Lytechinus pictus: one gene and its partners. The protein of the gene in region 1 binds, or shares a complex with, the protein of each later gene. Links are inferred from orthologs where the notes say so. Each region holds a gene or a part of one and is shown on either strand. Other genes may lie near its edges.

The links.
Region 2: syntaxin-18-like (region 1) and BET1-like protein share a complex: the UniProt entries of both Homo sapiens proteins name them as parts of the SNARE complex. The link is inferred for Lytechinus pictus from reciprocal best matches to the Homo sapiens genes STX18 and BET1L.
Region 3: syntaxin-18-like (region 1) and vesicle transport through interaction with t-SNAREs homolog 1B-like share a complex: the UniProt entries of both Homo sapiens proteins name them as parts of the SNARE complex. The link is inferred for Lytechinus pictus from reciprocal best matches to the Homo sapiens genes STX18 and VTI1B.
Region 4: syntaxin-18-like (region 1) and vesicle transport protein SEC20-like share a complex: the UniProt entries of both Homo sapiens proteins name them as parts of the SNARE complex. The link is inferred for Lytechinus pictus from reciprocal best matches to the Homo sapiens genes STX18 and BNIP1.

The regions. Positions count from the first base shown.
Region 1 is NC_087256.1:16,138,636-16,145,897, forward strand, and holds the start of syntaxin-18-like, read left to right. Parts: upstream 1-4,242; 5' UTR 4,243-4,288; coding exon 4,289-4,444; intron 4,445-7,262. UniProt on the Homo sapiens protein: Syntaxin that may be involved in targeting and fusion of Golgi-derived retrograde transport vesicles with the ER.
Region 2 is NC_087250.1:19,732,937-19,740,447, reverse strand, and holds the start of BET1-like protein, read right to left. Parts: upstream 3,004-7,511; 5' UTR 2,914-3,003; coding exon 2,880-2,913; intron 1,275-2,879; coding exon 1,168-1,274; intron 203-1,167; coding exon 146-202; intron 1-145. UniProt on the Homo sapiens protein: Vesicle SNARE required for targeting and fusion of retrograde transport vesicles with the Golgi complex. Required for the integrity of the Golgi complex.
Region 3 is NC_087251.1:45,500,721-45,508,057, reverse strand, and holds the start of vesicle transport through interaction with t-SNAREs homolog 1B-like, read left to right. Parts: upstream 1-4,322; coding exon 4,323-4,422; intron 4,423-7,337. Other genes in the region: mucin-2-like, read right to left, coding at 505-745, 1,511-1,877, 2,155-4,028. UniProt on the Homo sapiens protein: V-SNARE that mediates vesicle transport pathways through interactions with t-SNAREs on the target membrane. These interactions are proposed to mediate aspects of the specificity of vesicle trafficking and to promote fusion of the lipid bilayers.
Region 4 is NC_087256.1:1,387,521-1,394,725, reverse strand, and holds the start of vesicle transport protein SEC20-like, read right to left. Parts: upstream 3,016-7,205; 5' UTR 2,990-3,015; coding exon 2,909-2,989; intron 1-2,908. Other genes in the region: ectonucleoside triphosphate diphosphohydrolase 4-like, read left to right, coding at 3,383-3,390. UniProt on the Homo sapiens protein: As part of a SNARE complex may be involved in endoplasmic reticulum membranes fusion and be required for the maintenance of endoplasmic reticulum organization. Also plays a role in apoptosis.

The DNA of each region.
Region 1 (7,262 bases):
TGACATATGTGGTGTGAATTATATTTTCCTATATGACAAATGGAGAGTTGTCCTCAAAATCAGCCATTTGGAAGCACGTTTGCCAATTTGAGGATCGACATAGAAAGTACAACAGGAGTTTTCAAACTCCATAACTCGCTTATTCTATAACCGATTTTGATAAAACAAGTGTTAGATTGCTCCTCTCATCTAATTCTTTCTGATAAGATAGAGTTTCTCCTTGTCTTTTTGGTTTCCTTTAATGTGTGCCCCTTCAAGCATGTCCGGCACTGCTGAATAATTATGGCGGCATATCCTTGAACTAGTATCTCCAACTTTTGGACGCCCGTCGATTTTCTGGTCATGTTATTGCGAGCGTAAGACTGAGTTTTTAATTGTTTTTCACCTCATTTTCTTTTTTTTTTAACTCCCCCCTCTAATTAACCCTCATACTATTCAAGTGGTTCTATGACATTTGCTCCGCCGAAATTTTATTACTCCGCTGTTAATTCCAGACACTGAAGGAATTACCCATTTTAACCATGGGTTTAACATTATCATGATTATGCTTCATCCTAAACCTAACCTTATATTAACATAGAACCCCACTGCTACCCAAACCCCATCTTAGAGGAAGCCCCGAGTAACTATCGACGGATCAAAAGCCTTGTCACCATTTAGGTTGGGGAGTGGGATGAAATAATAGGTCACCCCGCCCCCAAATAGGTTCACCGCTTGGGTTTACACCAGCTCTATTTAACCCCTTGAAATATACTATCAGACTATATAGGACATGTAGACAGAGTTGTGAATTTGCATCCATGGAACATGTATATATCAGACTAAGAGTCTAGCTGATATTTATCAATATTTCAGTTATAGTAGCAGACAGAAATTTGTCGTTTTCGCTAATTATACAGAGCTGCATGATAAAAGTTGAATACGTTGTAATTTGTATGTTGTTGTAAATAGCAGTAATCCAAAAATTAATCATCTTCGTATCTTATATTCGTTTTACCTTATTGTGATCAAGGTTTATGTTCAACAATGCATAAATGCAGTGGTGATGAGAACAATACTTTAAAACTCATTTGCTAATGATGAGGTATTTTGACCAGCGCTTTGATTGTCATCACTGTAACCGCTCTTTTTATAACTTGCCTATAATGAGCTCTGTCTTCAATTATTGATCAATCATTCACAATATATTTCGATCTACTTCCAAGGTTGATGTTACTATTATGAATAAAGATACAAATGATGGAACTATTGTATCCATTTTCTGTTTTACATCATTCATCATTAATGCACGTACAGTGTATACTTGAAATTTGTAATTTGTTATTTTCAATTCCTCATAGTTTTACCTTTTCTTTATTCTGTACCCTCATAACTCCCTTCCCTCCCCTCCCCCTCCCCCTCTCTCTCTTCCTCTATTAGTCTCTCTTCCCTCTCATCTTAGAATTACCCCTCCATCATGTTGCTCTCGATGGGCCATTCAGTTCTAATACCTAACCCAACTTCAAATGTATTTTGTGCTCTACTGTCTTGTATGGTGTGCAATGTCTCTCTCCCTCCCTTTCTCTCCCTCCTTTCCACTGTCTCGTTCTCACTGTCGTGCGTATGGCAAGCCGTTTTAACATTTAATCATATTTCTTGATATCAAGAAATCGAATTCTTGATATCAAGAAATGGTTTTGTGTAGTTAGGCAATGGTTATTCTTGATATCAAGAAATTGAATTCTTGATCATTATCAAGACGTATGATTAAATGCTAAAATGGCTTGCCATACGTGCGATCCTTTTCGAACGCCACGACTGGCTTTTCGTAACCGATCGCGAAAATGTTTAAACCATTCAAAATACATGTATTAAACAATGTATTATGTATCAAACATGTAATAAACAATGTTTTATAATTAGTCTTATGTTATTACGTAATTTTCAGTAAGTGTGATCAACTGTTAATTTTTAGCAATATTCATTTCGTTTTGTAATGTTTTGTGATACATGTATGATTTGTTTGATTATGAATATATTAAAATAAAAAAATTGTTTAAAAAAATATGAAGCTATCTACGATCAAGACGATCGCTACAACTGATCTGATACGATCTGATAAGATCACTACGATTACTCAACGATTAAGACAACCGTTACAATCATGGCACTATTCGTGAGAGTGGGCAGCAATCAGTGTTCCATTATTGTTATCTTGTTTACTCTTCAGTTTCAAATAATTTTAAGCTGGCAGAACATTCGTAACTAGTGTATAATATGATATCACAAGAATTTGTCTTACTTTATTTATTTCGATTTATATTTTAACTTAAATGTGAATAAAGAAACAACAATCAAACTATCGTATTCATTGTCTATTTTCCTTGTCTATCATTTAAATCATGATGAATTGTATCTGTTCCATTTTTGTTTTAAGCCATTTCCCGAGCAATGAGCTCAAAATTCAGTAATAATTTTGCATTAAGATTTCTATAATCCAATCACAAAGCTCGTTAGATAAGAATCCAAAAGGCGTATATAATATATATTAGATATAATGAAATTTTCACTGATCTTGATCAACGGATGAATATTGCATGTAAAGATTAGAATGTGAGATGATAATCCACTATATAGTTCACATTAATGATTATGCAATTTTACCCAAATTTTAGACAAGTAAAATTAAGTCACAATTCGTTAGGCTTCCAGAAAAATGCAATAACTTTTGATTTTGACAATTAGTCGGATTAACAATAGGATTTTCAAGTTTTTTTTTTGTTGTGTGTGAAATGGATGTGTATGGGAACGAGTATGATAGAAGAAAATGATTCGGGAGCTTTTTGTGTGTGTATTACCCACAAATAAACACAATTCCATTGGTTTTTTTTTTCCAACGAGAGATAATAATGCTCGAACAATGAAATCTAATAGGTCTAAATGTGATGCCCTAATAGATGACACGAACAGAGAAATGTTCTTATATTAGACACCCAATGAATTTGTTTATTTTTAATCCTCCCGAAATGTAAAGTACAAGCAATAAAAAAACGTGAGAAAGTGTTATTTATGGACGTTTATTATGGTATGCCTATATACACCCGGGGAGCGTTTCATAAAAGGGCATGTCAGACGTTTTCTCTGACAAATCCCATTTTAACCGACAGTTACTATGATAACAGTGCCTTTCAGCCAATCATAATCAAGGAAAGTTGTCAGACCTGACAACTTGTCGGATGCAAATGTCGATGAAACGCTCCCCTGAATCTAAGCTACATGGGAGAATTTACAAATTGAAATCGAGATTGTGATCCCTCGTTATTCTTTCCTTGGAGACGTTCAAGATCGGTCCTAGAAATATTAATCTGCATGATATAAAAGATAAAATGCTGTAAAAACACAAAAATAGTTTTTACACACGCACACGCTGACGAATGGTGTTATAAAGGCAACAGTGTTCCCCAAAAGACGTCGACACCGATCGCCTAGTTGTCTGAAATGATGTGCCAGGAAAAGGAAGGCGGCGGCGTCCTCACAGAATAAAATAGATGTTAGTTGAACATAATCTATTGTCCTATTCTCTTCCCCCTTTTATTTTTCTTTTGGATTGCATAATGATTATTTTTATATAAATAAGAAGAGAAAATTTTAGGGACGGTTACATTTAACGTTCATAATTTTGGAGATGTTTTCCTTGTTTTCTTTATCCCTTTATACCTTAATACTGCATCAGCTGGAAAAATACAGTTGTTTTGGAGTCAAGTTTCAAGGTCAATCTTGTTGTCTTCCTAGCTTGGATGAATTCCGATACTGATCTGCTATTTGTGCTGTACTGGTATAGTGGTAATGCCATGGTCACATTTGTTCTACGGCGGCCGTACGGCGAGTCGAAAACAGCCGTTTTAACATTTTTTGTCCAACTACATATAGGTGGTTTGAATCAAAATTGATAAAACGGCTGTTTTCGACTCGCCGTACGGCCGCCGTAGAACAAATGTGACCAAGGTATAATGAAAGGGCACTATTCCCATGTGCCGCTGCGTAAACATAATGTCACTCAGACCAAAACTTGTGTAGCTTTGTCTTGACTTATTGTTTCTTTAATTCTACTCTATCTCTTTCACTTTCTTTTGTTTTCTAAATTATTTCTTATGTGTTTTATAATAATTTCCTTTTACTCTTCTTTTGCAATGATCTTTACACGAGATTTAGCGTGCGAATGTACGTAGCTTGGTTTTATTTTTTAATTTTTACTTCAACGACACCTCTTAGAATGACGTGTGAAGCTAAAAAGTAAAAATTTGTCAATATGGCAGCAGACAGAACCCCACTCTTCAAAGCATCAATTAAAACAGTTCGGACAAGAAATAAAGCTCTTGGAGTTACCAAAGATACTTCTAAGTCATCCCTCTTGAGTCATGCAAAACCCATGAAAGATGATTTTGCTTTAAAGGCAAAAGAAGTGGTAAGTATTTTTTAATCGGTTCCAGAGCAGAGGCGATAGCGAGCCGGGCCGGGAGCTCAGCCGACTCGGGGGCCCGCGGCGGGGGAGCTCAGCGGAGCTCCGGCATATGTGCACTAGAGGCGCACAGACACTGCACAGGCAGGCACAGCCAATATGGGAGAGATTATCTCCAACTTCTAACACCAGTATTTAAAGGTCAAGTCCACCCCAGAAAATTGTTGATTTGAATAAATACAGAAAAATCAAATTAGCAGAATGCTTTAATAAAATCGGATGTAAAATAAAAAAGTCATGACATTTTTTAAACTAAAGTTTTGCTTATTTTTCACAAATATGGCTGGGCGCTAAATGCAGTTTCGCACCGGCCGCCGGCCGATTACCAGCATACCTCATCACCAATACTTGTTCCCAAATGTCATGACAAGTCTCTCAGTCACATTTCGAGGTCAATATACCCACCTCTTCCAAATATCGGGAACGGCTGTATTTCAGCTTTGATCTCGATGTCGTTGTTCGAATCCTCTTCGCGGATCGCTTGGATTCGCCGTGCGCCGTAATGTTGATATGGACTGAAGTTATCAACCAAAAGATTCGCCTGCAGCATGCTGGCAGTTTGTTCGCCACATGTTCGCATGATTTGGTTGCTAACTTCAGTCCCTCCCTGGGTTAGATAGGGCGATGCCCTGCGCAGGTCTAATATGGCCACACATCGAAACTTCATCAATTCAAGTTTAAAAAAACATCCATAAATTTGGACCGATTTGAACCCAAAATTCATGAAATGCAATAAAAATGTGGTGAAACATAAAATGAGCTATCAGATTTGAGCTTATTTTGAGCGGATTACGTTGGATTTTGAAGCTAAATTTGGTATCAAAATCTAGCTAAAATTCCGCTGGTTACGATGCCGCCATATGCACTGTACAGGGGTACAATCACAGAGGGGGAAATGTAACCCAGGGAGCTCCCGCCCGCTGCGCGGGCGGGAGCCCAGGAGCTTACCGTGTATTTGACCATAGTCACCGGACTAGGGTGATTTATGGTCTAAATATTTCTCCAAATGAATTGTGAAAACAGAAAGTATACAATTACCACGATTATATGGATGAAGGTCTAACGAGTGGCAGTTTCCTGACATCTGGGCACAGACTGGAACCTAAAAAAACGAAAAGTTCTCTCCTTCTACCCCCGTTTCGATCGGCCATTTTTGTTAAAAATCGTAACAAAATTGTGCACATCCGCGAGAGCATGCTAGTGCGCCATGGCCGTGCCTACCTCTAGGCAATATCAGAGATTTTTGTATCCAATTTTAGATACGTTTACGTTTGCTGGAAAATGATAGTTTGCACCTGAAATTTGAGGTGCTGAATTATGACATGTCACTTGACAATCGATGATCGTTTTTTGTTGTGTCGTTGCAGGAACGCCCTTAGCTGCACGCATACGGGCATTGTGTAAGGGTGTTGGAAGTGTGGTGCTAAGGGCGTTCCTGCACCGACGTGACAAATTGTCAACTTATTTCACAATCACCAAAACACACACCAAAAACATTGCATTGTTATGCACAGGCATAATCGCTTACCATCGAAAAGTCCTAATTTAAACTCAAAATTTCCTTTAAAAAAGTAATATTTTACCCTTTTAAAGCTGCGGAATCTGCGTCATGATTCCAGAGCACGCGACAGCATAGCCTTATCTTAGGCTTAGCTCAGATTTGATAAGCGGGGTCGCTGAAAAATCTGTGGTTTTGTTCTGAGTTCATAAACTTTTGCAAATGGTATTTTAGGATCATATCTTAAAAGTGACATAATCAGAAAACCAGGACCGCATTGAATGTGCACAGAAATGAGTCAACAATAAGCTTCCGAGTGCCTTCATTTATTCGACAGGGGCACCTAGCTAGCCTAGAGGACTCTGTGATGATTTTATTTCATATTTTTGTCATTGTATTTTCATCACGGAGCCTTGACACGGACCAGATAGTTGAACTTGATGATTAAACAGGGATTTCCCTCTAGAATTACTATTTAGCCCTGCCAATTTTTACCAAATATGAAATTTATCGGATTTTGAAGATTTTATACACCTTATGCATATAAATGTGTAAAAAGTATCAAATTATAAACTTGAAAAATGAGAGGTTTCTTTCCAGACCGATCTGTGGTGGCCATTGCAAAATCTTCCCATGCTGCGTAATACAATAGTAGGCTTGACCCTTGACTCGCTTCGTTATGACGTAGCTACGATGAGCTACGTTATGAAGCGCCGTTTTGTAGAACAATCTATAGACAAAATTATTGTTTAACAAATAATTATCATTTAGGCCTACATAAAATTTTTATATTGGTTGTAAGTAAAATATAATTATTTTTTGTGGGAGATAGTCTCCTATATTGGAGAGAGTGAGAGTCGCCCATATTGGCTGTGAACATCTACTTCCTAGAGTGCGGCAAAATTTTGAAGCAGTAAAACTTAGAAGATGGTAAAAAGCGATAGAAAAAAGAATTAGAAAAGCACAAAAATTTCCATTTACTTTGATTCTTTACTTTATCATCTTTAATTACATGTGCAATAAATCCATGATTCTAAGCATGCGACCAATTCTTTTTAATGAAAAAAAGGGAGGAAACAAATTCGACACCCGTCATGATGATCCACTGTACATGTAGATTAGCTGTCCTATCAAGTATCATTTATCATGCTGCAGCATAATTTAGGCCTGGTAACAGCCAGGAGGCATTTGGACTTGGATTGGAGTGTATAATCATTACTAACACAAGGTTACTCTCCTAGATACCTGGCAATTGTTAATGTCTGT
Region 2 (7,511 bases), on another chromosome or scaffold:
GCGCGTTGCATATCATGCACGCGTCAGCATTTAAGTGCGACTTTAGTCATACTTTGTGAAACACCCCCCTGGTCATGGATGTGTCTTTGGTGACTGTCCCTAACTCTACCCCCCCCTTCCAGATCAAACATATCTCTTGTCTTACCATTCCATCAAGATAAACATTTTGGTCATTTGTGTCATTCTCCATATCCTTGGCAAGCTGAAAGAAAACAAGAAAAAAGGTAAAGGTCATTATTCTGAAGTCTGGTTTAACTAAAACCATGGTTGAAGTTGGTGTTAAATTATGAAAAGCAAAAAATGTCAAGATTTTGTTTACATTGATTGCATCCTTTTTTATGTATACCGTGTTCTGTATCCATGCATGACTGGTAAAGAAAACTATTTACGATATTATTCTTACAGTTTTGAAAGGTAAAGTGCCAAATAAGCTGATAAATTCAAAACATTGGCCTTTTGTATACGTAGAGCATGATGAATTGCCAAAAAACATATGAAAGCGTGAAGATGAATACGTCATATCTGGAAAATATTTTGAACAAACATGCATTTTAGTTGTTGATGCTGCTGGCTTTCCATAGTTGTAGTTGAGTGTATCACTGCCAGTCTGCCAAAGCTGATTGATCAAATGATTCATAAAAAAATATTAAAGAAAAGGACTTTTCTGGCATCCAACGACCTATGTGACCAACGACCTTAATGTCAAGTGGAAATTGGGCCCTCTGTGCATTTAACTACACAAGAATTAGATTAGACTAAATGGTATTAGATAGTGTACTGTAAGACAAATAGCGATTCAATTTGATATTGGACCAAATGCATTCAGCCCATATGTTATAAGATTATCTGATAACAATAATAATATAGGATTTGTATAGCGCACGTATCCACCTTGCTAGGTGCTCAAGGCGCTCCTATATTACCCCGGTTAAACTGGTCTACCGATTCTGGTGCGCACAGCTTTTTGAGGAATTACTTGCTGCTGATACCCATTTACCTCACCTGGGTCGAGCACAGCACAATGTGGATAAATTTCTTGCTGAAGGAAAACACGCCATGGCTAGGATTCGAACCCACAACCCTCTGTTTGAAAGGCGAGAGTCAGAACCACTAGACCACGACGCGCCCACTCAGACCTAAGTGATTATGAACCCATAGACTACTCACAGATTTCAATGTTGAGACCTTAGCTGCTAGACCGAGTGTCATTCGGTCATTTTCGGCTTCAAGCATGTCCTCCGTACTCATTTTACCACCGTGGTTGTTTTGTCCACCTATTAAAAAAAAATAACAAGGAATTAATTCACACACAGGTCAATAGGGACGGGTAAAATCTTTTACAAGTTTGAAATGGACTGAAGTTGGCGACTAAAATCATGCGGACAAAAACGGATGAGTCCTAACAGTCCCAACAGAGAACAAGGTTTTATCATAACAGTTTAACCTTGTTATATCATAACCTTGTTCAATAAATAAGTGGGTTAAATCCAAGACTGAGTGATTAGCTTAAAAAGCCTCAGGCCCAATATTGAATTGCAAATTCAATCTACTTCTTCCTGATTTGGACAGACTGGGTAAATGGTCATTATCGTGAAATTGGGAACCACCGTTTACTTCGTACAGCAGCGCTTTATAGTTCAGTCACAACGCATGGTTCCCTATTTTCCACCTCCATTTACTTTGTACACACGTGCACATGCACAAATCAACGAGTGGTTCCAAAAACCATGATTTGGCCGGTAAATGACTTGAGTAATGAGTAGTGTCCAAATATTGGACGAAAAAGACTTCAACTACAGGGATCCACACTGGCGGGGGACTTGCATACATGTGATACATGTACTGTTGAACTGCACACACAATAGATCCAGGTTGCTGCTCAGAAAAGCTATTCCAGGGGTTAAGATTCTTATGACCCTCACTAATTTTTAACTCCAAAAGATCAATGACCAAAAAAAATCTTGTAAGGGGGAAGTGATTTTCGCAGGAAATATCGCCACCAATATGACACATATTCAATCTATCGCAAAAAGATCTGCAATGGCCATCGCGGGTTTCCACACGGCGGGAAATTCAACACCCTCCCAAATATCGGACATCTCGTCCGATTGCACTGGAAAGCGTGCTGTTCACACGCCCACGCTCGCATTTCAGAACGAAGCCACCCGGAGCTAAGCGAAGACGTCCGATATTTAGAGCCGAAAGAGGTCCATATGGAAAGTAAATAATTATCATTTACAGATTTCTACATCAAAATTATTAATAGAAATAATTCAAAATCGGCATTTGCGCAGCTGAAATAAAAAATGTTTTCTCAACAATCAAGCGATTATTTTGGGGTTTAGTCTTTAGGGCCTAGAGCGCAGTTTAAATTGCCAAAATTGATCGCGGCGCACAACTTTACACTTCTTGTATTTGGCCAAAAAAAAGCTTCTGGTAGTATAAGTGAATAATTTCCATTTAGGCCTACCACATTTTTTCAAAATTTGATTTTTACAAAAAAATAAAACTAGGCTACTAAAGTTTTCAACCACAAATAGACATGATTAATTTCATTTGATTCAATATTTCAATGATTAGGCCTATATTTTTGTTTTGGTCCAATCATGCTTAAGTGTCCTATATTTGAGCACTTTATTCTATAATTTGTTACATATGATATAGAAAAGAGTTGGAATGAGGAATCGATCTGTCAACGAGTGAGAAAACTGGTGTTGATTATGAAGAGTTTACAAACACAAAATTGTACGTGTGGGACACGTTGCAGTACTGTTTGAAGAGTTTCAAGAAAATAAAGGAAAGATTTCCATTAACTTATTTGTTAAGCAATAAAGTAAATAGAGTTGAATAAATCAGTCCAGTAATTTCAAAATATTTACCTGTTTTCTTCGATCCCCAGTCCCAGTCAGACATTATTTCAGGGAAAATAGTGAGTTAATTTCAAGCTGCCGATATTTGTGTTTACGTTTTCAATTCCACGTAGATTAGCACCGACCGCAACGTTGATTCAATGCCCAGTTTCTTTCTCACAAAAGTTAAAGGAGAATGAAACCCTTGAAATCAGCTGAATCCATATCAAAGAGATAAATCAAAGAAACACATTGTTGAAGGTTTGAGGAAGATTGAATGAATAATAAGAAAGTTATGAGCATTTGAATATTGAGATCACTAATGCCATGTAGATCCTCCCATTGGCAATGCGACCAAGATCTAGATGTCACTGATGAACAACTCTCCCCTTTTGGACACTGAAAATATACCCCAAAACATCTCTTTTTGCTCATTCTAATCATATGACAAACGATTCATCAATGATATAATGTTGTGAAACCTCTGTACTTGTCCTCTCATAAAGAGAACACCTCACCTTGTGACAGACTCTATAAAAGTGAGAATATAAGTGAAATATGTACTAAAGTAATGAGGGAGTTGTACGTGTGTGACATCACAGATCTTGGTCGCATTGCCAATGGGAGGATCTACATGGCATTAGTGATCTCAATATTCAAATGCTCATAACTTTCTTATTGTTCATTCAATCTTCCTCAAACTTTCAACAATGTGTTTCTTTGATTTTTCTCTTTGATATGGATTCAGCTGGTTTCAAGGGTTTCATTTTCCTTTAACTTTGATTCGAGAACTACGAAGCCTCAAACCGGACATTTTTGACAACCAAAAAAAAAAAATTATCACGTACGTACGTAGTATTATTACGTACGTACGTGATAATTATTACGTACGTACGCAGTATTATTGCGTACGTACGTGATAATTATTACGTACGTACGCAGTATTATCACGTACGTACGCAGTATTATTACGTACGTACGTGATAATTATTACGTACGTACGCAGTATTATTACGTACGTACGCAGTATTATTACGTACGTACGTAGTATTCTAATTTTCATTGGTCTATGGAATCCGATATTCGCCGAATGTGGCCGACATCGGCACCCCGCATTGGCCCAACCAACGTCAGCTTGCTAGCTGGGACCATGGTTGGACCATAGTCATGCTGGTGGTGATCAAGATTTTTAATCGATTATATAGGGCCTATATAACAGGGACCCCTTACAAAAATGTCCTGTGGTAATACCATATAATTACCATAGGACTGTACCACACGATTACCACATATATTGTTGTGTGGTAATGCTATGTCTTTATGTCCTGTGGTATTGTGTGGTAATGTGTGGTAATGTCGTGTGGTATTGTCCTGTGGTAAATTGGAACATTTACCACACAACATTACCACAGGAATACCACATGAATGGATTAATATATGGTAACATTTACCACACAAGGGATTAATTTATGGTAACAATTTTTACCACATACCATTTACCACATAGATTATCACACGACATTTACCACACCATTTACCACACACCAGTTACGACATGCATTACCACACACCATTTACCACACAAATTACCTCACATTTTACCGCACACCAGTTACCACACGCGTTACCACACATCATTTACCACACGAATTACCTCATATTTTACCACACGCCTTACCACACAAATTACCTCACATTTTACCACACACCGGTTACCACACGGGTTACCACACACAAATTACCTCATATTTTACCACATGCCTTACCACACAAATTACGTCACATTTTACCACACACCGGTTACCACATGCATTACTACACACGATTTACCACACACGTTACCACATACACTACCACACACCAGTTACGTAACTGGTGTGTGGTAATGCATGTGGTAACTGGTGTGTGGTAAAATATGAGGTAATTCGTGTGGTAAATGGTGTGTGGTAAACACTAACCAGTTACCACACATATTGTACATAATACACATAATACCATGCATCAGAGTCATTACCCAAAATGTGTGTGGTAACTAGATGTGTGATAACTGATGCATGATAATGTATGTTGCAACTGGTGTGTTGCAATGTGTGTGGTAACTGGTTAGATACATCACAGATCATGGGTATGATTTTGGTAGCAGTAGAATGTGTTCATGACCCTATGTACTTTTATAAGATTAAGAAAATACAACACCTTCAATGAACAGACAACAAATGATTTTACAAGTGATATAGAAAGTACTGGTATTTAGCTCATAGAGTCATCAATTTACAATACTGGTTTAGATTTGATATTGACAAAAATTGTGTAACAGCTGCTTTACTGTACAAACAGTGTAACATAATAGTAACTATCAAAGAAATTAGTTACAGTGCATATAAATACTTTTAAAACAGATACATTTCTTCTAAATACTTTAAAAAGTTACCTCAAAGGTTATCTGGCTTTTCAGCAAACCAAATTAACGACCATTGTAGTTTTTTTGCAGGTCACACATACAGAATGGACTGATTTACTCTTTGTTTTATGCTTAAAGACAAAAATGATTAAACTCTTAATCGTTTTTAAGAAAATGAACAAAACATAAGGATGTGTCTACAATAGGTAATATCATATAAGTAGCTGCGGCAAAGTGCACTGTACTCAAAATTGCGTATAACAAAATGCATAATTATCCCAAGTTTACTTCAAGGCTGAAGGGCAAGTAGAAATAGACGAGAGATGATAATATGTATTTGGAGAAAATGAAAACTAGGACAATACCCTGGCATGTAATATCTGAATTAAAGGAAAATAACACCCAAAACATAATATCACATGATATTATTGATAAATACAGGACAATCAACATGAATCCACTCATACCCTAATCCAATTACGGAGTACCACCTTTTCAAAGTTGGCCTCTTACAGTATGGTTCGAAGTTTCTGGATGGAGGTCGCCATTTTCGCGGGGTTAGTTAGGAAATTATTACATCAGCGACGAACTACATCTCTAAACGTTTAGGCATTATATATTCTATTTTATCAATAACAAATCAAATGTACAGATAAAACTCATAAAAATATTAGTTAAAATTTGTTTAATATATGGTAGGTTCAAAATACAATTTGATGAGTTTTAATGATAAGATTTACACCCCAATTTCCGCTGCCAATTTGTAAATCGTAGATTAGGGTGTAATTTTTATCATTAAAACTCATCAAGTCGTAATTTGAACCTATCATATAATATTAAACAAATTTTAATTAATATTTTATGAGTTTTATCTGTACATTTGATTTATTATCGATGAAATAGAATATTTAATGCCCAAACGTTTAGAGATGTAGTTCGTCGCTGACGGAATAATCCCCATCCATAGACTTTGTACCAGAAGATGCCAACTTTGAAAAGGTGGTACTCCATACTGGGACATCGGATTGGGGGTATATGAGTGGATTCATTTTCATTGTCCTGTATTTATCAATGGTATCATGTGGTATTATATTTTGGTTTTTATTTTCCTTTAAGATATTGTACTGGTTTATATCATGGCATTACAAAGTTCATCTGTAGTGCACACTGTGTCAAGTGCACAAACCTATTCATGGTTCCCACAGAAATTTGAAAACAGAATTCCATGACCTCTCCATGACTAAATTGCTGCTTTCCATGACTTAATTCCTTTCTGGCACAGTTTACAAAATCAGACATGTTATGATCATGAACACCAATTATAATAGTAGAGTATAATCACAGAGTATGAGAGTTGTGAGACATAAAAAACTAGAAAGCTGTCATAGCCAAGAGGTAAATGCAATTCCATGACTTTTCACATATCCCTGACTTTCCATGACCAATTTTTTTCCAGGATTTTCCATGACTGTGGGAACCCTGTAATAATACTGCATTGACAGAGCTCTATCATTTTTAAAGTTAATTTCAATTTCCTTCAAACATTTTATTCATCTCTTTTTGGTTGGACCTTGAATATAATACAATACAATGTTTTGGCAGGTCGTCTATAAAAGCATGTACATCGTTAAAAAAGGCTTTTAGCAGGAACTTTTGGCAAGTAGTCAACAGTATCAATGCATGTAAATTTGGGTGAAAGAATCATACATGTACATTAATTCTTAAGAAAAGTTTGTGGTTGTATTACACTATCACTTAAACGTATTAAAAAGACAGCAGTTGCAGCAAACAATTATTTCATGAGAAATTGTCAAAATATTGTACATAATCTCTAGATCTGGTACATTAATGTAAGCTTGTATTTTTGTAAAATCACTAATTTTGAACTTAAAATTAATTATTTTGATGATCACTAACACAGAAAAGAACATGTGGGACAGGACAGTGTATTATGATTGATTTGAAAAATACCTGACATTGGATAGAATTACATGCTTATTTTGCTCATTTCTCAGCAATTACACATTTTCTTCCCGAGCTATAATTAATTATGGCACATGTCTTTTATATTTTGCTGGTAATTCTATTGGGTTCTGTTTGAACTCATTTTAAGATTGTTACTACAACTGGTAATTTATCTTTAAAGTTGTACTTGTATATGATACGGGCTCAACATAATCTAAAATAAAGTAATTTTTACCATGCAAAATAGTGAAAATTTTATCAAAATCAGATAAAATTTAAAAAAAAATAATTACAAA
Region 3 (7,337 bases), on another chromosome or scaffold:
AGCCTATATTAAATTCAAATGGACTAACTAGTTAAAGATAATCCCACAGACTCTATGAACCTACAAAGAGTTGATAAATGTATTTATTTTCATTCCGATATAATACAAATGGACTGAATATATATCTACAGTGTATGTGTTTTTCAGTGACCTCACTAAATCTTTAACTCCAGTTTACAAAGTTTCTATGGGTTCTTCTTTAGAATGAAAGATAGTCACATACTAAATGGAAAATTCCAGAGCCTGAATGTAGGCCCCAAAAGTCCTCCATACAATCAACAAACATGTACTATGTTCAGTTTTTATGATTATTTAATATACAATTGGCAAAAAATACTTCATATAATAAAATACTTTATATAATAAGGTACATTAACAGTAAATTAAGACATGTTCAGCTTGACATAATCTACTTGTTTGATTTGTCATGTGCAACTAAACATCTTAATATAACGACCCAAGAATTAAAAAAAGGGGGGAAATGAAGAAAGAATGTGTATTGACCTTTCACAGAATGATCCTTGACAGGAAAAACTGGAACACGCTCCAGACACGACGCAGCCATCTTCCTGGCTTCAAGATGCATTTCTTTGAGTGCTTTCAGGATGGTGGGAAAGATTGCATCTTTGGTTGTGGTCTGCTGGGCTCTGGCGACTATGTACTCCCAGGGAGTGATGACCTTAGACAGCATAGGCAGCGTGACCTTGATCAGATCATCGTCAAGAGGGGTCTTGGGGTCAAAGAACTGTAATATGAAGTCATCATGAATATTCATAAGATTGATGCATTGTTCAGTGAATACCATATGAGATTTTGAGAAAGAAGAAGTTCATTTCCTGATTATGAGATGAAAGGTCAAATCTATCAATCAGTTCTTTTACAACAGAATCATTAAAGGATTATAATGAGTAGAGTAAATGATGCTTATACCAGATCCGCAGAACATTTATTTCTGGGCCTATTTTTATAAAACTAATGTTTAGTAGATGATGTTACGATTCAATGAAAAAAATGACATTGACCAATCAAATGGCATCTTCAGTAACATTAAGCAGTACCTTTAACTTTATCATTCAATCAGGATTCTCATTTCATCTTTAATGATGAAAGGGATAGTGTTTGCAAAGTGCTAAAGCTAAACAGACATCCAGATGTATTATGATTTTGTTCCGATTGAACTTTTTGCTAACATTTAATGTAGATCTACAGGGCATTTGAATATCACACATAATTTCTTAATCAGTTGTTATTGAAAACTTACGAGACAAAGCAACAAATATTTCAAGACTTTATTGTAATTAATCAATTAGTAACAAAAAGCAGAATAAACTTTCAAAAACAGATTGAACAATCATATTACTTGCATTTCATAGAAAATCTTAAAATACTTTAAGCCCTATTTTGATACCATCATCACACCTTACGGAAATTAAAGTAAGTTAATTCAACATCCTGTATTAAAATGGTACCGTATTAAAAAAAAATCCCCTGTAGTATAATTTCCAGTCACCTTTGAAGTTGATGCTTCTGCCTTTGGAACATCTTTGCTGTTTGAGGTTATCACTGATGCATCGCCACTCTGATCAACGACCTTACGACCCGACCCTGGGGGTCTTCCTCTACCCCGCCCCCTTGGTTTATAAGGATAGTGGTAGGTAATTATAGCTGGTTTCGGCCGTTCTGGTTCTGGTTCTGCTTGTTTGTTTTCTTGGGATGTCTCTTCTGAAGAACTTGGCTTATCATCTTCGGGCTTGGGACTGGGAGATTGGTTCCCATTAGGTTTCTCGGCTGCCTCACTCGGGGATTCAGCTGCCTCGTTTGTCTCGGCTGCCTCACTCGGGATTTCAGCTGCCTCGTTTGGTGTCTCCTCCTTTGTTCTACAAGAAAATAAATATAAAACGAATTAAAAATACACCTTTGTTTTCATTATTTTTTCTCAACTGAACTCTTGCTTTGAGAATTATATGATGGTAAAAGTTGAAAAAATAAAAGGCTTTTTGAATAAAAAATTTGAAAGGTGAAATCAAGAAAAATTTCACAAATTCAAATAATAACCCCCCCCTCCTCTCTTTTCCTAGAACTGATGATTTAAACTTTAAAACAAGTTATGTTGTACAATGTACAGAGACTATTTAAAAAAAAAAAGACTCCTACTCTTTGTCACTTTGTTTCTCATCAGTCTCCATCTCCATCTGTGGGTCTTCATCTTCCGTCTTTGCAAACACGGCATCAGGATCTCCATGTGTCTGGTTGTCTCTGTAGTGTCTGGCCAGTCCGCCTCTTCCAATGTACCGCTTCTCACAGTTCTGGCATTTATACCTCCTCTTCTGATCATAGAAGCTAAGTGTCGAGGTTGCATTTTCACCATCATCATAATCCGAGTATTCTCCATCAGAGGAACCTGGCTGGTCTCCCATCTCTTCATTGGACATGGTTTTGTACTCCTTGATTCTATACAGTGGAGGCCTGGACACTCGTCCAGATCGAGTCTTGCAGTTGGCCGGTCTCTTCTGTCTCATGAGATGCAAGTCCTGCGAGGACGGCACTGCTGGAGCCATTCCCTTGGCCGCTGCTTTTCCACCACCTCGACCAACTTTTTTCTTTACTCCCAAGACTATGGCTGGCTTAGGACTCGGAGAGGATTTGACCGATGTTGAAGTGGGTGAAAAAGTTGTTTTTGTGGTTGTTGGAGTGCTATTACTGGGGAGCCTGTTGGACAGGATGGTACCGGGTGGGAAAGTTCTGACGGGTGTTTGCTGCTTGTTAGTTGCATTAGTTACTACTTTCATCATCGGAATAGTGCTTCCCTGTTTCTGACTTGTGGACAAGATGGGAGCAGAAACTGGAGTCGTGGTTGAAACTGGAACTTTAATAAGAGCTGGAGCCTTAGCTGGTGTTGAAGATGAAGCAGGTGGAGGAGCTGGGGCTGGAGTTGGTTTTGATGACTGGGTGGTCACAGTGGCTGGAGCATCTGGAACGCGAACAATGGTGATTGGTTGACCAGGATTCTTTGCCAAGAGGGCCTGCACTTCTGGGGTATTCACAATATTCGATATAAGCGTTTGGCTGAGAGCCCCTGTCCCTGGAGGGGTTCGAACAGTGATTGTTACCGGTGAAGGGGTTGAAGGTGCTACTCTCAGAGTTGGAACGCTTGTGATTGGAGCCGTCTGTTGCTGTGAGATGGCTTGAATGAGGCCAGGGGTATTCAGCAGAGATGTTCCAAGGCCAATATTACTAGAAGCAGAACCTGTCAACAAACTATTTCCATTCACAAGTAATGATGTATTTTGAGCTGATCTTGCCAAATTCAAAGATATTGGATTGGCCGCAGGTGCAGCTACTACAGAAGTGGGAGTGGTTCCTACAGCTGATGCAGAAGCAGTTTCCAGGATGTTTAATGCATCTTTATTTTTTGAGTTTTCGGTGAGAGAACAATCGCTGCCTGAATCGATCATGGTTGCAATGGACCCAAGTAAAGAACTTGCTGCAATATCTGATAAGACATTATTCGATGATGAAGACATGGCTGAATCATGATCCCCAGAAAGAGCAGAAGATTCGGTGTCAATTTTGGAAGATTCAGAATCAATTTGGCCAGTCAAACAATCAGCTTGTGATTCAATTGATCCATCAATCAGCCCATTGTCATTAGATGACGTGCTGTCAGCAATCAACATTTGATTCTGATCTCCAACGACGGGGAATCCATCTCCTGGTTCGGCTTCAGGAATGACAGTTTCAGAAACTTGTTTATCATCATGATCATCTTCTTCTAACAAGCCGCTACCCGCGGCTCCATCGGTGTTTGCGTCTGTCTCTCCTGCCGCGGCAGAGAAATTTATTTCATCTTCCTGTCCAGATTCATCCATCTTTGAGAGAGCCTCGGACAAAAGATCGGGTGTTTTTCCTTCCTTTGTTCCTGGAGAGCTTTTACCGATAAAGCCTTGCTGTTTTACATTATCCTGTGTGTCGGAATCGGGATCAGAATGGGTTATTTCTCCAATAATTGCATCCTCCGCGTCCGCCATGTCAAAGCTGCCCTCAACAAAAGTAAACCCTGCGAGATATATATATAAAGGAGACCCTGCGCAGTCGTTCTCAGTTAATTAAGAAGTTATTGTACCAAGAAGTACCGTAGCGTCTGAAATAGAATAGTATAAAACGACTGGTAATAGTCTAGGCACTTGATTGAGGTCACCTGATTGTGTTGTATTCATTAACGTTGTAAAAAGTTACGGATCGGGAGTCGGAGAGTTACACTTGGTCGGACTGAGGAGAAAGGATCATATTCTTCTGGATCTGTGTTAAATAAAACGTCCAAAATGTCATCGGAGCGATTTGAAAGGATTGAAGATGACTATAGAACTCTCTGCGACACAGTCAAGTACAAACTTGAAGCAAGAATTCCGAATTCATCTGGTGGTAAGTCACACACACACCCATCCACATTCATTTGAATTTTGATTGACTGAAAATGTGAAATGAATGATTTTGAATGACTGTCTTTTTTGTGAGTTAGAAGTTAGCATTGTTTGTAACAGACACTGGTGACTGAAGTCTATCTAACGTTAGACTAATCTAACTTTAAACTTAAGAATTGTATTGATCGACGTCCACTTAAGTTGAACTTGAAGTTGAAATTTTATTTCAGCTTTGCATGATCATGATGATGTAAACCAATTCATTAAGGAGTTGGATTTCTAAATTAATATTAATGCTTTCTCTCAAAGAACCTGTAATGGGGTGACCATAATTTGCGCACATTTCAGAAGTGATCCTGAAGTTGATTTTCAATCAAAAATATCTCACAGTTCACCCAAAATTAATCAAAATCATAAAAACTAAACAAGCCAATATCCCAAAGTCAAAATTCACTTGAAGTAGGTCAAGGGTTTTGCTGGTAGATCTAAAAATTCCATGGCGATCGACTAGTGCGCTCGGCTGAAAAGTTTCATAAAAAGTGTGACCTTAATTTGCGCAGGATCAGGATCATTTTGCAAAGCTTTAGAAAAGAAATCAAGCAGACAAAGGTAAAATAATTGTATCAGATGGAGGTTAAAATGCGATAGATTAGGTTGGTATCACATTTTACTTCCTTATTTTGGAGACTTTTGCTCACAAACTGGCGATTTCTTGTAACTTATCGAGAAGGTCAGATTTTCTCGGAGCAGACGCAAAAGGTAACAAAATTTGACAATGTTTTGCCAATATTTTCACAAATTGAGACCTTACCTTCAAGAAAATTACAATACTGAGGAGACTCTAATATGTTAATGTAATTTGGGTCGCTTTTTTCTTTTGGAGATATCAGTTTTTCAAGATATTAATTAGATATTGAGATATTCGACCGTGCGCAAAATTAGGTAACGCGCAAATTAAGGTCACACCACCATACCTGTTCTATGTTCAAGTTAATTTTTTAGTTTCGTTATTCATTCTTGTATTTTTTACTAGGCTGTTTCTCTGTAATACCTGTTAATTAAGCAGAGGCAGAACATAGATGCCAAATTGAAGTAGGATGTTGTGTCATCAACAAACATTGACAGAGTTTCATTAATTAATAAAGATGGACATTAGTCTAGACTCTTAACGTATGTGAAGGGCCGGAGGGGAGATTTTTCTTTCTTTTTATACTCTTCATACTTTATGCTGTTGAGCTTTTTCTACCTAAATTTTTGCTTTTCTCTCTTAGTCTTACTGTATGTCACTATTTGCAAAACCAATGTAGGAGCATTTGGGGTATTTGTTCAGATTTCAGATTGGCATGGGTAGAGCTAGACAGCTGGCAGCCGTCTGTTTTGAGGAGTTTTTTAACATTTTTTTATTTTTTAAATTTCTCCTCGTACACAGACGGCTCGCTATCGTGCAGCCACCATTAGGGGACTTGCAATGCAAAATCCCCCCGTAGGGGCTCTTCAATTTTTGTCTTTAATGAATAAAAATTTTGAAAATTAATGCGACCAAAATGCAAATTAATATTCCCTCCTGGCATTAAATGCCAAAAAACAGAGAAAAATCAACTTAAAAGGAACAAAAACAGTGACTTACCTCGGCTGTCGCGCAAATTCACTTCCCCGTTTTATCCGATCTTAAGTACATAAACATATGGCCATTGAGTCCCCTGTACAGATCGCGCTAGAACTTCAGTCTCTGTATTTGGTGAGTGAAGCCAACGGAGTTCAGCTGAACAATAACAGAGACCGAAGCTTTTGGTCTAGGGTAGAGCATGCATGGACATAGAAAATTTTCATCTGGATTGTACATGTTCAGGGACCTTTTCCAAATGTGATTTGAATATGTTGACAGTTTGACTGTTCTCTGTAATACCTGTTAAGCAGAGGCAAAAACATAGATGCCAAATTGAAGTAGGATGCTGTGTCATCAACAAACATTGACAGAGTTTCATTAATTGATAAAGATGGACATTAATCTAGACTCTAACAGTCAGTCCGCAAGCCCCTGTGTTAATGAGCAAATGAGCAAGATTTATCCAAGTCCTCTCGTGGCTGAATTCATGTCCCTGCAAAATCTCGTGAATTGTGAGACTTTCTATCTCAAAGAATTTAACCACTTTCTCCTTGAGTAATATTGATTATTTTTGTACCATGGGCAAGAGTAAATGTTACCCTTTTATATTGGTCATTTCTTTTGAATGAAATATTTTGATAAATAAGTGAATTTTTTACCTGAAAAGATGCATCAAACATAATTTTCTTCCTCTGTTTTCACTTGCAAATTGTGCAACATTTTGTGTTTTAGGCACCAACATTATTTATATCATCAGAAAGCTCAAACTCTATACTTTCTTACAATGTCACTCTTGATATGTGGCATCTTTTAGATGGGTCAGCAGCCAGTTATTTCCATCAAGATGTAAGACGAGATTTCTGAAATTTCTGAGTAACATAAAATCCAGAGTTCTGATTGGCTGAATACTGTTTTCAAAACAAACAGGCGCGGGTAATTTGAAGAGATTACCACATGGTGAGTGTGACCTTGCAGAGGCCCAGTGTGGGGAACATTGGAATTTGCGTGGGTGTGTGGTCTATGACCAATCAGAGCGCAGTATTCTTGTTTTTGAGCTGCAAAATGTACTTGGCCTATGAAAAGCTGGCTGCTGACCCATCTAAAACACATCTTCTTATAAAAATTATATCATATTAAAGCTTAGATCTTCAGCTTTATCATGATTTAAAAATCATTTGTGCCTAAACAGAAATTAAGTGTGAAAACAACAACTTTTGTTGCATGAAAAAAAATATTTTGTTTCATTTTTTAGATCCAAATTTTTCCCTATATTACAACATTCTTTTAAAAATCCAAACACATGACCTAAA
Region 4 (7,205 bases), about 15 Mb from region 1:
AAGAAAACAAGATGGCGACATAAACATTGTGGCAAGTTTTCCCCGTCTTTTCATATTTTTCTCATTTTTTAAATGAATTCTTGTTCAAAAATGATATCAATATCGTAGAAATGTCGGAAATGAAGTTGTATCCCATTTACATGATTTAGGGCTAGATCTTTTAGAAGGAAAGTAGAAATCTAAGGGCAAAAGTTTCATTTTTTTCGCGGTACACGCACATGAATGAGACGCAATCCCTGACTCAGTGGAGAGTAAGCATACGTTAGTACATTGTTTTTACTCTCTAGGAGCCTCCTGGCAAGCTAGGCCTACCTAGCCAGGAGGCTCCTGGAGATTAATGTCATATCACTGACGTGCTTAATCTCCACGGAGCCAGGGACGGGATGCCATTGCTCTACGCGCACCAAGTATTTTGGAGACAATAATGTTGTTCCAAAATACTTGTTTCTTTAGGCTTTTGAGCCCAAACTTATGGAAATGGGCTACAATATCATTTGAATCCTGTTGGCGCAAAATAGTTATATCTTTAACTAATATTACACATATATAATGAATCAAAATATTAAAAGTAGAGGAGCGTTTACTCAGTCTGTTATTGTAGCCACCTTGCCGTCTTTGTTATCGTAGCCTAGCTACAAGAAGCGTATAGAGGGCGAAAATATCATGAGCAGTGCTAACTTAGATTTAAAAAATACTTGTAAATTGTATTGGCCGATAAATATCATGTATCTTTAAGATAAGATTCATGTTTACATTTGCTGCAAAAGGATTACCTTGGCGGCAAATAAAAATATGACAAGCAGATTCCTCATGAAAAATTACCCCTTTTCACCGTCTACTTTAAAAAATTCAGTCTACTGTTGTTTTGATGAGGATTTTTGTTGTCATCCACACACAAAACAAATTGGCTTCTGACCTCAGACTCAGGGAGACAAAATTTTGGGTGGAAAAATTACACGTTTTGGTGGTGTTTCGTTTGTTCTTTTGAAAAGCAAGTCTGCAATATCATATTGAATATGGAAGATTGTCTTTCATATTGGAGAGAGTCTCCAATATTGGCCGTGCGCCAGCTCTAGTACTAAAGTACTGTAGGCCTACTGGTTGTCGTGAACTATTCACCTGTCCTTGTCCAGCATCATCGACCGGACAGGCCCAATTAGAAGCTTCAAAATCTCAACAAACTGCGGTTCTCCACCGATCTCCACACCTCGGAGGAAGGGAATCTAAGTTACAAGTATGGCAATGTATCCTATTGCCGGACAACTTTATTTCAGTGCTTTAAAAATGACAACTAGAGGAAATACAATCAAGAAAAATTTGCACAAAAATGCTATTCCAAATATTATGAAAATTATGCATATGATGAAATTATTTTATATTTACCAACTGTTTTCTTTGCATCGCACTTGCCGCATACCCCTCCACGAAAAACAATTATTTATGCGACAAATTACATCATGATTCCGGACGTGTGTACGTAGGACCAAGCCTGCGTAGGATGGGTAAAGATATTCTGGAAAGAATTCCATATGCACCCCCACCAAAAATAACAAAAGATTGTTGAGACTTCCGGTTCGTTCACTTCAGATTTTTCTATCATTTTTTTTACTGCTGCTTACCTTAGTAGGGACTCGAACTCACCTCGTTTTATCTGCAGTCAAGACCTCTTCCCGCTATGCTGGCGAGAAGTGCTGATACCGGAAGGGGTATTTTAATGATTATCAGCCAATAGTTCAACTAGTCTTGACTCACAGACCCTTTACTGACTAAATAAACCAATGATGTCTATGGACAATTACACACACTAGATCCTGCTCGAAATTTGACAGAATAAACCAAAAATTTGGTATGTATTTCCACTCCCCCATCATATATGTTCTATATTAGGGCTAGATATATTATTCTGAACCTTCTCCATGTTTTTATTTTCAATTTTACTTTTTTAGTGAGGGGTGCATATGGAACTCTTGTCAGTATTCTTGATTAGAATGATGTAAGAAAGAATTTGTGTGATTTTTTCTTCATATATCATATCATGAGTAAATTCTTAGTTTTTGTTTGCTTTTTTTATATCGAATCTGAGCAGATGTTGGTAATAAATTTGCGTTTGCTAACTAATTTGATTTTTTTTGTTCTTTTTAACTGCATGGCACTTTCCGATATTATGCTTGTTCGTATTGTGACACTCATCAAGTTCTATCGATGCACATCATGCACTGTCGATCGTCGGTAAACCTCGCACACGGGTACCTTGAGAACTAGCTAGCCATCGAAGATCACCCACAATACACCACACCACAATTCGATCGAAGGAGCGGACAAGATTGAAATTCAGCAAATCATGCCCATATTTCCACCAGAAAATATATCAATTGTTAATGCAAAACTTTGACATATGATATTTTAAGCATTTTCTGTCATTTAATTTAAAAGATAATATTTGATTTTTTCGCCATTAATGTTTTTGGCTTTTTTGCAATCTTGTTCTCAATCTAACTTACTTATATTATAACTTAATTCTAACATTAACAAATCAAAATCAAATGTCAATTGCTCTGTGAAATTGAACTGCGTAAATCTTGCGGGACGAAATTGTTTTCGTACACAGTAATATGCGCGTCCAGAATCATAATAGTGCAGTGTCCGGTAATACAATACCTGACTCTACTACAAGACTGTAACACTAACATACATAGACACGCATAATTAACGTGAGTAGTGACATTGTCAATTCTTCGGAGAGTTACTAGCGCAGAGCTGGGTATGTGGGACTGTTTAAAAAACAGTCGCACAGAATCGCATAGCAATATTATAAACTTAATTGTACGATGTAGAAAATTAGGGATAAAATATAATTTTCATCAAATAATCGTAGAAATCAACGATTGATTTTAGTACGTGAACTTACCTGAGCATATGAATTGATCTGTAAGTCATGTTTGACGATTTCCTGAACGCAAGTTCTAATTCTCACAGCGTCTAAAGCCATCTTGACAAATTTGTCAATACAAATTGGCAGCATTGAAATCGTAAGATCTGAAAGTGAAATAAGAAATAAAAATCACCTTTAAAATAAAAAAACCCAATTTAGTATTAAAAAAATACAAAATTTGCATATTTATATTTTTTACTATTCTACAATGGAATAAAAAAAGTAACAATCAGTAAATGAAAAAAAAATATTGGCATTGATTGCCAAATTTCTTGTAAAGTACACGTATGATGTTAACACGTCGGCGACCTCATTAATCGGTTCAGCTCAGCTCAGGCAGCTGCTAGCAAGAACGAAGAAAATTATGCGGAATTTCTTAGGGATAGATCGAGGTGTTTTGTGTCAAATGATAAATCATCTGCTAAATGTTGGTTGAAGTTATCTGTTTAAATGGCTCGGTACGTATAGTAATAGAGAAATGAATGATCTTGAGATGAGAGTAGTAACGTTAGACTGAGTCTGAGACTGAGATTCTATCGGCTGCGAGCGCGAGCTGAGGCTTTTGCACTTACTTACGGCCGCTGCGCGGCTGGGGACCGGGGCCGGGGCGGGCTAACTCCAGCCCGAGTCCAGGAGCTCCATCGCATTGATTTAGCCATGGCCTAGCTAGGCCTTAGCCAGGCGGCTTCTTGAGAGTTAAAATCATTTACTAACGTAGGCTTACTCTAAATGAAGCCAGGGAGTCCTTCCATAGGCGGCGGAAGCGTGGGGGACGTGTCCCCCCTAAATTTTAGGTGGGGGGACGGACCCCCCCTAAAATAATTTTTTGTTGATACGGTAGGCCCTAGGCTAGGCCTAACCTTTTTTTTTTTTTTTTTTTTTTTTTTGCTTGTCAATTTTTTTTCCTAAGTCCCCCTAAAATTTTGCTTCCGCCGCCAATGAGTCCTTCCTATTCATCTGCGTGTACCGCAAAAAACCCTGAAACTTTCGCCCCCGAGATTTCTACTTTCCTTCTAAAACATCTAGCCATAAATCATGTATAAAACTTCATTTCCGACATTTCTACGCTCTCGTTATTTTTAAACAAGAATTCATCAACGAAATGAGAAAAATATTGTGAAAAGACGGAAGAGACTTGCCCGATGTTTACGCCGCCATCTTGTTTCTTATTGTACTTCCCCAACGTTACGCGACGCTCGCCCCCATTTGCTCAAATAAATAGAATGTAACCATCGGGCACACTCATCTTGACCATTTTTCCTTCTGTAATCTAGCACTTGAACTTTAGTTAATTCAAGTAACTCTGGGGAACGGGGATGGATGATTTAATTCCTGAGGAGCAAGCACTGCTTGTGAATAAGAATTTTTTGGAAATTGTGATGTGTGAAGCATTTCAAGACAAGACCAAAAAAGAGAGATTACATTGTAAAAGCAAGATGAGGTGTGGGAGATGTGCATACAGGATGACAGCAAAGGATGATTGTGAAGCATGCATGAAGTGATGGTGAAAGCCAAGAAGCAGATGAGAATAAGTTTTAAGGGTGATTGGTCCATGGGTGCAAAGAAATGGATTACTGAGCATTAGCATACAAGTGGTGTTAAAATGAGAAATAGCAGTATAGACATTAGTGAGAAAGTTGACATTAAATGCTTATTTCTGGACAAGTTTTATATCTAATACAAATTTAAATATTCAAAGCCCCCAATTCTATTAAAATGTTATATTGTGCAATATGTCTTCAATCCCCTCCCTTTAAAAAAATTGGGGGATCACCTCATTTAATCTAATTAAAAATCACTCAGGCTACATGAAATCTTTTGAATTAACAAACATTGTATTCCATGTTCTACCTTGACAAATTACATTTTGTGCGTTATTTATCAAAATCCCTCAATGAAGATGACTGGATTTCTCTTCAACGACACACCCGTGGACTGTCTAAGAAGATTTTGTAGGATGCTTGGCATAACCCTGTAAGTGAGAGCTCTGATCGGATCGGATGATCGGGGGCACATACTTATCCCTATGATCGGTATCGGTCGAAAATATCGGCAGCAAATATCGGATTTTGCTATTTGTTTATCAAGCACAATAAACAGACCCATATTGTCCTTAGCTGACCTGATTGTCCTTAGCTGACCCCATGCATTCCAAGCACTACTCACATATCGTATTCATCCCTTGGGAGTCTGGGTCTCACTGTCAAGCGAGGCAGTGATTTACGATAGTTCTATGCCGACATAACCCAGCTGGTTGGTATCACTACCAGCGTTAGAATGGATCCCCGCCCTAACAGCACTTAAATGCCGTGCACTTATAATGTTGTTAATACGTCATCGCAAGCCAACGCCTGGCTGTCCACTAGAGAGAGGGAGAGGGAGGGGGAGAGGGAGCATCGGAGCTCATGTAATAAATACGCCAACGCAGACACTTTCCCCAATCCGATCCGCACAGAGAGTTAGAGAGAAGGTGAGAGAGAAGGGGACGGAGGGAGTTATGAAAAAAAAGAGAGTAGAGAGTAAACCTCGTGGAATGATGCCAACTTTCATCTGAGGGTATTTAAAATTTGATCAGTTCTGACGGAAAATGTAAGAAAGGTCTGATTTTTTTTGGTATGAAGTCGTTGTTTCTTGTTGGTTGTTTCGTTGTTGCTTTTTTTTGTTAATCATGAAAATAGGAATTAAATGTTGAAGTAACAGCCTCGGTGTCATATAATCATCAATGAAAATACCATATAGAGAATATTTCAGAGATAATTGGTAATTTACCATCACTCAGAAACGTTCTCGAATTGTTTTTCTCCTCTCTTCCACTCTGCTTCATTCAAGTTATCTTGAATCAACTAAGTTCTCTCGTTCTCTTTTAACAACTCATTCATGAAGTATTATTTGAGACTGACACACAGGTGGAGCATTTCACTTGAAAAAAATTCATTCCTTGCCCACACCATGTCCCCACCCCCACTTGTGGCACTGCCCACGATGCTACACATGTATTTCAAAAAAAATATTTTGCAAAATATTTCATTTGAAATACCTTTCAAAATTACAAATTTTTATCATTTGAACCTACATGTATAACTGGGTCTATTTTTTTAGACTAACCAAGAAAGTACTGATGAAGGCGGCGCGTGTTGGAATGTCTTTTGATTGTGTGAGGGGGATATAAAAAAGGTTGCATTGTTTGAAATTTGAAAGGAATTCTCCGGCTCACACCCCCTACCTTTCTCTCTCTCTCTCTCTCCCTCATGGGGGAGGGGTCAATTTATTTCTGAAGTCACGACCTTTCCTGATAAGGGAACCACGTGGCTTTTTCTGTTTCCCCGAAGGTTTCATTGGCTTTCGAAGCCGAAGGTCCAATCAGCTCAAGTGAGATGGTTGTGTGTTTACTTTCTGTTTTGAGCACGCAGACAATGACTTATTTTGTGTATCGAGGGCAAGATCGAGTGGGATTAACATTTTCGGAGCTCTTTCGTGTTGTTGTGTAACTGTGAATGTGATACAATCATTGCTAATTTTTCAAAAATTACCTCGGTAGCATCATTTTTAAACCTGTATCAAGTATAAAAAAACTGTTGTCATCATTGTTTTCTTGTCATTTTGTTATTATTACTTGGGTATCTGAGCTATAATCCCAACGTCATAATCGGGATCTGCCGAACATTCACTTTAGTGTAAATTTTGCTGATTGATTGGCGGGCACGCCATTTAAACCATTCGACCAATCAATGTGTACTCCCATGCAGGCCTAAAAGTTATATTAACACAAGCGAAAATAAAAGGCAAGAGAAAGCAAATGACCGAAATTAACATTGGAGTTTTCACGCTTTGCGAGATTGGTTGCTTCTTTTCCCAACTTTGCTAACAGATCACATGTGTGGATGTTTGTGTGTGAAAATGTGGGATGATGGAAAAAATCAGGGGAGAAAAAACTCTTCATTCTGACCCTCTGACATGTGGCACCGTAAGTTGGAGCTAGCTCGTAAATTTTGGCGAAGCCCTGTCCTCCCTGCTTGGAATTGACCAATGAGAATTGTTCCCTCTAATTTCCATTCACGGTACTCGATGCTGATTGGATTTATCATCTGACAAGATCTCCTTCATACAGTATGTATCAAGTTGTTTACAAAACCACTGGAGCGTAATGCCCACCAGTCGATTAGGGGGATTTTCTCAAGTGGATGTTTCCAAAATATCCAAGTTGTCAATGAAGGAGATGTGGGTAGGAAAGGGTGTTCATATTTGTTAGGGACGCACCATTAGAGATATCCAG